Linked DNA regions of Oryctolagus cuniculus. The protein of the gene in region 1 binds, or shares a complex with, the protein of each later gene. Links are inferred from orthologs where the notes say so. Each region holds a gene or a part of one and is shown in the gene's direction. Other genes may lie near its edges.

What was found.
Region 2: the proteins of SLF2 (region 1) and SIMC1 are in contact, whole or in part, in a cryo-EM structure (PDB 7T5P), measured with the Homo sapiens proteins. The link is inferred for Oryctolagus cuniculus from reciprocal best matches to the Homo sapiens genes SLF2 and SIMC1. Residues at the interface, in NP_060591.3 of Homo sapiens: His738, Val772, Leu775, Lys778, Asp783, Phe786, Gln790, Gly791, Phe792, Thr794, Ser795, Ala796, Tyr797, His798, Tyr799, Cys820, Ile821, Gln825, Ser828, Met831, Glu832, Ile835, Arg836, Asp838, Thr839, Ser841, Asp842, Ser843, Pro847, Lys919; in NP_001295125.1 of Homo sapiens: Tyr426, Arg428, Leu431, Lys435, Leu438, Pro440, Val442, His443, His444, Leu445, Phe447, Gln448, Arg470, Arg471, Phe490, Asp493, Pro497, Val521, Asp522, Lys525, Glu526, Tyr528, Met529, Met532, Lys533, Gln536, Leu537, Arg571, Asn658, Gln661.

What each region holds. Positions count from the first base shown.
Region 1 is NC_091446.1:28,940,731-28,944,540, reverse strand, and holds part of SLF2 (SMC5-SMC6 complex localization factor protein 2), read left to right. Parts: intron 1-373; coding exon 374-496; intron 497-1,214; coding exon 1,215-1,382; intron 1,383-2,687; coding exon 2,688-2,790; intron 2,791-3,810. UniProt on the Homo sapiens protein: Plays a role in the DNA damage response (DDR) pathway by regulating postreplication repair of UV-damaged DNA and genomic stability maintenance.
Region 2 is NC_091437.1:62,263,606-62,268,053, forward strand, and holds the start of SIMC1 (SUMO-interacting motif-containing protein 1), read left to right. Parts: upstream 1-1,351; 5' UTR 1,352-1,484; coding exon 1,485-1,613; intron 1,614-4,448.

The sequences.
Region 1 (3,810 bases):
GAAAGCAGTAGAAGGTGGCCGAAGACCTTGGACCCCTGCACCCGTATGGGAGACCCGGAGGAAGCTCCTGGCTCCTGGCTTCGCATCGGCCCAGCTCTGGCCTTTGCGGCCATCTGGGGAGTGAACCAGCAGATGGAAGATTCTCTCTCTCTCTCTCTCTCTCTCTCTCTGCCTCTCCTTCTCTCTCTGTGTAACTCTGACTTTCAAATAAATAAAATAAATCTTTAAAAAAGAAACAGACTTTTCATGTTTTACTGAAAATGGTATATTATATTATATGTCATGATGTATTGGGGAGACATGATTTAACTTACTAAGTTTTTTTTTAATTTTTAGGATGAATTATTTATTATAGCATTCTTTTAATCCTCAGGCTAGATGAACTGCAGAAGCAGCTACAAGAAGATATAAGGCAGGGCCGAGGCATTAAATCCCCAATCAGAATCGGAGATCAAGATAGTACAGATGATGAAGATGGCCTCTTGGAAGAACACAGGTATGGTATTTTTTATAATGTATGTATGTCATTTTACAGTTTTTGTTTTTTGGCCGGCACCGTGGCTCACTAGGCTAATCCTCCGCCTTGCAGCGCCAGCACACCGCGTTCTAGTACCGGTTGGGGCACCGGATTCTGTCCCAGTTGCCTCTCTTCCAGGCCAGCTCTCTGCTGTGGCCAGGGAGTGCAGTGGAGGATGACCCAAGTACTTGGGCCCTGCACCCCATGGGAGACCAGGATAAGTACCTGGCTCCTGCCATCGGATCAGTGCGGTGCGCCGGCCGCAGCGCACCAGCCGTGGCGGCCATTGGAGGGTGAACCAACGGTAAAGGAAGACCTTTCTCTCTGTCTCTCTCTCTCTCTCTCTCACTGTCCACTCTGCCTGTCAAAAAAAATAAAATATAATTTTTGTTTTTTTGTAAAATAAATAGGCCTTTGATGATTATTTCCTTCATGAATCTTTACTGGGTTTCTAATCGTCTGTGATGGTATTAAAAGGCAAATGTTAGAGGCAAGTTACGCCTTTTCTTTTGTACTGATTATTGTTCCTTCTCATAAGAGACAAAAATTGGGAGCAGCAAAGCATACTTTTTCTCCGGCTGGTCGTCTAACCTGGGATTAACATTGGACGTAAAGTTTTCTTTGCACCCAACTTTTAAGTACAAAACCATGTGCAGTATAACTATTTGGTATTCAAGTAACATGTTTTATGTTTCAGGGAATTTCTAAAGAAATTTTCAGTTACAATTGATGCTATTCCTGATCATCATCCAGGTGAAGAAATATTTAATTTCCTTAATTCTGGAAAAATTTTCAATCAGTATACCTTGGATTTAAGAGACTCTGGTTTTATCGGACAAAGTGCTGTAGAAAAGCTTATTCTTAAGTAAGTAGAAATTAACATTATATCTTTTTCTCTATAAAAATTATTTTAAAAGACTTCTGACCAATGTAATTTTCCGGTTTCCTAATCCTTTTTTGCCCTTTATGATATTTTACTTAATTATAGGAAGCAGGATAGGAAAGTTGACATGCTTTTATTAGTTAGGATTAAGATCCATAAATAGCAGTGACTGTCAGAGTAAAAGGAGCTTAAACAAGAGTTTATTTCTTTCTTAAGTTAAAGAAGGGTAAGAGGTATAAAGTCTAGGGCCAGTATGTTGGTTTCACTATTCTTTTTCTCTGTCATTCTTTTTTTTTTTTTTATGTAAGATTTTATTTATTTATTTTGAGAGGCAGAGTTACAGACAGTGAGAGGAAGAGACAGCCCTGCTCCAGCTGTTAGCCATCTGGGGTGTGAACCAGTGGATGGAAGATTCTCTCTGCCTCTGCCTCTCTGTTTTTTGTTTGTTTTGTTTTTGTTTTTGTTTTGACAGAGTTAGTGAGAGAGAGACCGAGACAGAGAGAAAGGTCTATCCTTCCATTGGTTCACCCCCCAAATGGCCGTTATAGCTGGCGTGCCACGCCGATCCGAAGCCAGGAGCCAGGTGTTTCCTCTTGGTCTCCCATGTAGGTGCAGGGCCCAAGCACTTGGGCCATCCTCCACTGCCTTCCCAGGCCACAGCAGAGAGCTGGACTGGAAGAGGAGCAACCAGGACAGAACTGGCGCTCCAACTGGGACTAGAACCCGGAGTGCCGGTGCTGCAGGTGGAGGATTAGCCTAGTGAGCCACAGCACCGGCCTGCCTCTGCCTCTCTGTAACTCTGCCTTTCAAATAAGTAAATAAAGTTTAAAAAAAAAAAAGCAAAATTAGATGTTAGTATAGACAAGTAATCTCAACCACAAACCAGATGTTAGTATGGATAAGTAATCTCTACCTAGCTAGTCTGATTTCTCTAGGTACTTGATATCTTAGAGCTAGAGAGATCATATCAGTTCTGGTGCTGAGTTTTACGAAACAGCGTTCTGCAAGCTAGCAAAAGCAGAGGAGGTCCTAAGATTTTATAGGCTCTTTCAACACTGCCAACAAATGTAGCGTTGCCTACTAGACAGGCGTGAAGCTGAAATAATAGATCGCATCAGCTTTATGCCATCAGTTGAATTTGTTTTGTGAGTAACCTGTCTATATTGGTGTGGGATCCACCTACACAGGATGATTCGCTTTTTATTGTCTTGATTGTGTCAGATGTGGTGGTAGTAGAAATGCTTTGCCATGAAAGTAATAGTCATTGATTTCACTTTATTTTTTCAGATCAGGAAAAACAGATCAGATTTTTTTGACAACACAAGGCTTCCTCACCTCTGCTTATCATTATGTCCAGTGTCCTGTACCTGTGTTAAAGTGGCTATTTCGGGTAAGAGAAATGTTTGGAGGGTTATAGTTGCCTGCTACTGTATTTCCCAGTCAAAAGCAAGTTTTTATATGTAATTTTACTTGCATATGCCTAGGAGAAAATTAATATATCAAACCCGTGATTTCAGTGGATTAGAATATACAAAAGGAGTCTGAATGCATTTAAAGGAAATGTTAATACAGATAGTATGCAGGATAGTCAATAAAGTTATATGTGTCTGAGGCACTTCATCACACCAGTAAATCACTGTTACAGTTAGTTTTAGAAAGGATCTTCAAATGCTTACATTCCCTAAATTTTGTTTTATTTCTAGGGGTACCAATATTCATTTTCAGGGATTTTATTGTATACTAATATTTCCCCATTCGTTCATATGTGTGTGTGTGTGTGTGTGTGTAAATCCAACTGTTTCTCTTTTTTCTATTTATATTTTCTACTTAAATCCACTTGAATATCTTAATTTTTATTTTTAAGTGTAACTTTTAAAAATATAGATGATATTGATTTTATATGTAGAGTCCTGGTATTACTCTAGGTACTTTGTCCCTTTAGGCAAACGACATCATTAATATAGAAGTATTGTATCATCCAATTTAGGGTTAAATGCAGTACATCCTAGAAGAGCTAGGAAGCTATGGAGAGGGACTTTTTGACTAGCTGCTACATCAGCAAGTACTATGATGATGCTCAGTTGGAATTAGCCTCCTCCCATATTCAAAGAAGATTATGAATGACAAGTTATTCCCAGGTTGTGAGAGTGTTCCACTTTAATAAAATTCTGAATGTATGAAAAGCATACAATAGAGGAAGATAATTCATGGTATAAGAGAATCCTTTATGATGGTAAATATTTGCTCCAGAAATCTTATTTTTAAAAATATTAATGATATCAGAGAACTGTATCATAAGAAATGAAAAGTAGAAAAAAATGCATGGAGTTTCTATTCCAGGCTTTTTTCTATTTTGAAAGTTTTTTTTATTAATATGAAGAGAAGAGATTTCATGTATTTCTTAGGTACA
Region 2 (4,448 bases), on another chromosome or scaffold:
AGCCTATTGAGCCACGGCGCCGGCCCTAAGAAGAGTGTTTCAAGAAACAGGGAATTGACTAAATGAAATGTTCAATGGCATTCGCTGATGATAACGTACTGAATTTAAAAATAAATAAATAAATAATGAATCCCTTCAAACCAAGGATGACTTCACCTCCTAGTACTGAACCCACTGGATTAGATTTCACCCATTTTGGACTAGAACATCTGAACTCTGCTGGCCATAAACCCCCTATCAGCCAGAGCAGTGATTCCCAAAGTGTGGTCCCCAGACAGCAACATCAACATCACCCAGACACTTATTAGAAATGCAAATCTGGGGGTCCCACCCCCCAAAATTCACTTTCTCAATCTGACACTGGTGCATGGCCCTGCAATCTGCGTTTTTAACAAGGCCCCTGGTGATTCTGATGCTTAGCTAAAGTTTGAGAACCACTGTGGCGGACATTGCAAAGACAGCACTTAGCACTTATGCTAAACACATTTTTGACTCACCACTAACACATTTTGCAAAGTTGTTGGAGCCTGAGTAAGTTTTGTCCATGCCCCATATTTATTGTGACAATACATCTTGATTTTGATATCTTTGCCCTACAACCAGCCAAGTACCTACCATTTCTCCCTCTGTTGGAGACACTGTTTTCATCTTTGTAATTTCTGCCTGTGCACAACATCTACGTGTTCACGGCCTGCACTACGTCATGGCTTCTCTTTGGGCGCGTTCTCAGCCTCTCCTCCTTATAGCTACTGGCCAACGCTGTAGATGTGAGTGGAAATATCTGAGAGACACATACTGCCAGTGAAAGTGCAAGTCGGGGCAATTTAGGAGGGTAATTTACCATCGCCTACCCCAGCAACGATAAACACACAGCCTTTGACCCGATGATTCCACTTGTAGGTATTTATCCTAGGGCTACCCTTGCACGTGTGCACGAAGAAGTGGGGTCTCTGTCCCCTACCCCAGTCTTCTAGAAGACAGGTCATTTAGAGGCCTGCTCACGCTCAGAGGTCGGGTCAACTGGAGGCCCTTCTGCTCCCTCAGGCAAAGGTCGGGTCACCTATTCTTGGGGACTCCTCCCGGTCAGGGGCCCAGCCCACCCACTTCCCTTCACACTTCGGTCAGCTGGGAAGCCCCAACAGCATTGGCGTCTGGTATGCCCGCCTCGACACCGGCCCAAACCAGCTGCAACTCGTTTTCCTTCTCTCTCGCCCGCGTCTCTTCTAAGGAAGGGAGGATGGGCGGCCCCGCAGAACACAGGGCCCTCGGCCCCGACCCGGCCGCCGGCTGCGCGCCGCGCGCCACCCGCCGCCGGCCACCGGTGGGCGGGGCGGGGCTGGTGGGCGGGGGCTCGGGGCGGGAAGGGGCGGGGCCTGCGGGGTGATGGCCCTGGTTGTCGCCGCCGCCGCCGCCGCCGCTGCTGCCACCGCCCTCTGGGTCGCCGGCCGGCCGCCCGCGTGCTGGCTCGGCTGGGGCCCGCAGCCATGGAGGACTTCATCGTGATCTCGGACGACAGCGGCTCCGAGAGCTACGGAGGAGCCACTTCAGGCCGGACGCGGAGGCTCCGCCGGGCCCTGTCCCGGACCCCCGGCGCGCTGCCGCGCCGGACTGTGGTGAGTGAGCCAGGCGCGGTTTGCCGAGCCCGGCCGCGGGCCCCGAGGGTCGCTTCGGCTCGGACTGTGCCTCTTGAGACCCTGCCCGGGGCCCGCCGCCTGCCCCTGGCGCCTCACAGCTGCAGCGCTTCCCGCCTTGCCGCCTTCCCAGCCTCTCGGGCCTCGAGGAGCGTGGCGGGGGCAGGCCTCCGGAGCTCAGCGCTCAAGCCCGAGCGGCCTGAGGCTGGAGAGTGGACGGCGGCCGAGTCCCTGGACGGCGGCCTGGTGAGGCGATCGGTGGTCCTCGGCCCGGCGTCGGACGCCCCCGGCGCTTGGACTACGGGGGCTGGGGGCTGGGCCGCTGCCGCTACCGCTACCGCTACCCAGACTTCGAGGCGGGGACGTGGGGGCGCGTAATTGTTTGGCTTGTGGTGGGCACAGATGTGCGCAGCGAGGTAAGAGGAGCCCAGGCCAGGCGGGAGGGAAGCATGGGCCTGGGCCAGATGATGGCTGCGCTCCAGGGCCTGGCTGCTCAGTTAGGGGCCCGGCCTCGGAGTTGTGCAGGAGAGCGATTCATTTCACTTAGCAGGCATGTGCAGGGTGCCAAGCCTGCGGGAATAGGGAAGGCAACATCTTGCCCCATTTCTTTTTCCTTCTAGTCCCTTCGTTTTTGTCAGGTGCATAAAATTGTCTTTGCCTTTCCAGACTCCTTCCCAGACACTTACTGAACCCCTACTAAGAGCCAGATGCTCTAGGGGCTGGGGAACAATGGAGAGAGCACAGCACCCACACACCACAGCACCTATCCAGGAAATGATCGATCCTACAAGTGGGTCCTGCGAACAAGCTTCCTCTGAGAAGACCATCAACAGTCTCCCCAGCCACACCCCAGAAATAATTGTCAAGCTGATGCTATGTGTGCAGATCTTCAGTTTAAGGAAAACACGGTGCTTCGTGTGCAAATGTCCATCCTAGATAAGCGCCCTAGCTTCTGCTCCCTCCCATTCCCTTTCCAGTCAGTTTGCAGCCCCTAAGCCTCCACTGTGCAGTCGGTCAGTGTCCCAAGTACAGTGCTAAGTGCTAGGTGATCCCCGAGCAATGAATGGTGAGCAGAACGTGTTAACGCACGGTGCTGTGTTGCCATGGTCCAAGTAAGAGGGATTCTCGCAATATCTCAGTAAAAATTTAGTTGAATTGTACCCAATTCATTGTACTTGTCTGATGAGGTGGGCACATGAGATTTTCAAGGTAGAAACGACCTGCCTTCATGAATGAATGGATGTATCTAGCGCCACAGCAAGTTACGCGGGACACAGCATGCATAATAAATGTTGGATGAAAGTACGACTGAAGGAATGGAGGGGCAAGAGAGAGAGAGAGAGGAGCACAGCAGATAGATGGTTCCTGGCGCAGGCAACACTAAACTCCGTTCAGACCAACTGGATTTAAAATGCTATTGGAAAATACGGGAGGTGGGTGGGGCCAGCTCAGAGGAGTGGCGCTCTCCAGGAAAGTCCGCACTGGGAGATGTTTGGCAGTCATCCCAACAGGAAAGCTATTGAAGGCCAAGTACTGACTGAGGTCATCAAGCAACAGTTTAGAGAGGGAGAGAGTGGGAGTCACCGCAGGGTAACAACTGCTCTTTCTCCAGGTTCCTCCTCCCTGTTGCCTGTTGTCTCAGTCCCCCTTTCTACCCGCTTAACCAGGTGTTTTTTTCCCTCATTGATCCAGCTTCCATAAGTGCACAGTGGTGATCCCTGTCCCAGGCTGTTGTGTCCCACACACACACACGCGCACGCGCACACACACACGGATATGAATGTATTCTCTCTCTGTCGCCGTCCCCTAAGGTTGCCCAAGGTAACATTTTGATCTTGAGCCTTTTGAGTTGAATAGAAATGAAGGGCAGGTTCCAGAGAGCAGGACTTCATTTCAGTCTTGCTTCTCTGGATATTGGCGGGTGCTTCAAAAAGCTCATGGTAGAAAGAATTAAAAGGCAAATTTATTTTGGTGCAGAAAAATTTTGGGAATTTCATTCATAAAAGTTGTCTTCAAAAAGTTCTTGGAAGAGTGTGCTTGGATTTCAAAGACGTTTCATTCCAAATAAACTTATCTTTTAATGCCCTTTTCCATGAACTTTTTGAAGTCCATCTCTATGAAAATGCCAACCTTGTTTCTCCTTTTATTTTTCTTGCAAATTAGATAAAGGTGGTGGGATAACCATGATAAAGATCGAAGACATTGAGAGACTTGCAAGGTTATAAAAGCCTACAGTCTTTTTCTAACTTTTCCTGAAGGCTCTGAGGTCAGCAAGACCTCTGTTAAAATCAAGGTCCCCCACAGAGCAGCTGGGTGAGCTTTGGCAGATTCTATCACGTCTCTGTTTTTGAGCTTGAGAATATTAGTATCTACGTACCAAGATTTTTAAGAGGCTTTTATATTTTTAAAATTTTGTATTTATTTGAAAAGCAGAGAGCCAGAGACACAGATCTTCTGATCACTGGTTCGCTCCCCAGTGTCTGCAACAGCCAGAGTTGGGCCAGGCTGAAGACAGGAGCCTGGAACTCAATTGGAGTCTCCCATGTGAGCATCAGGAATCCATGTACTTGAGCCATCACCTGCTGCACCCCCAGGATGGACATTAGCAGGAAGCTGGAATCAGAAGCAGAGCCAGGACTTGAACCAGGCACTCTGATATGGGATGCAAACAACATCTTTTTTTTTTTTTTTTTTTTTTTTTTTTTAAGATTTATTTATTTATTTGAAAGGCAGAGTTATGCAGAGGCAGAGGCAGAGAAAGAGAGGTCTGCCATCTGCTGGCTCACTCCCTAAATGGCTGCAGAGATAGGAGCTGGG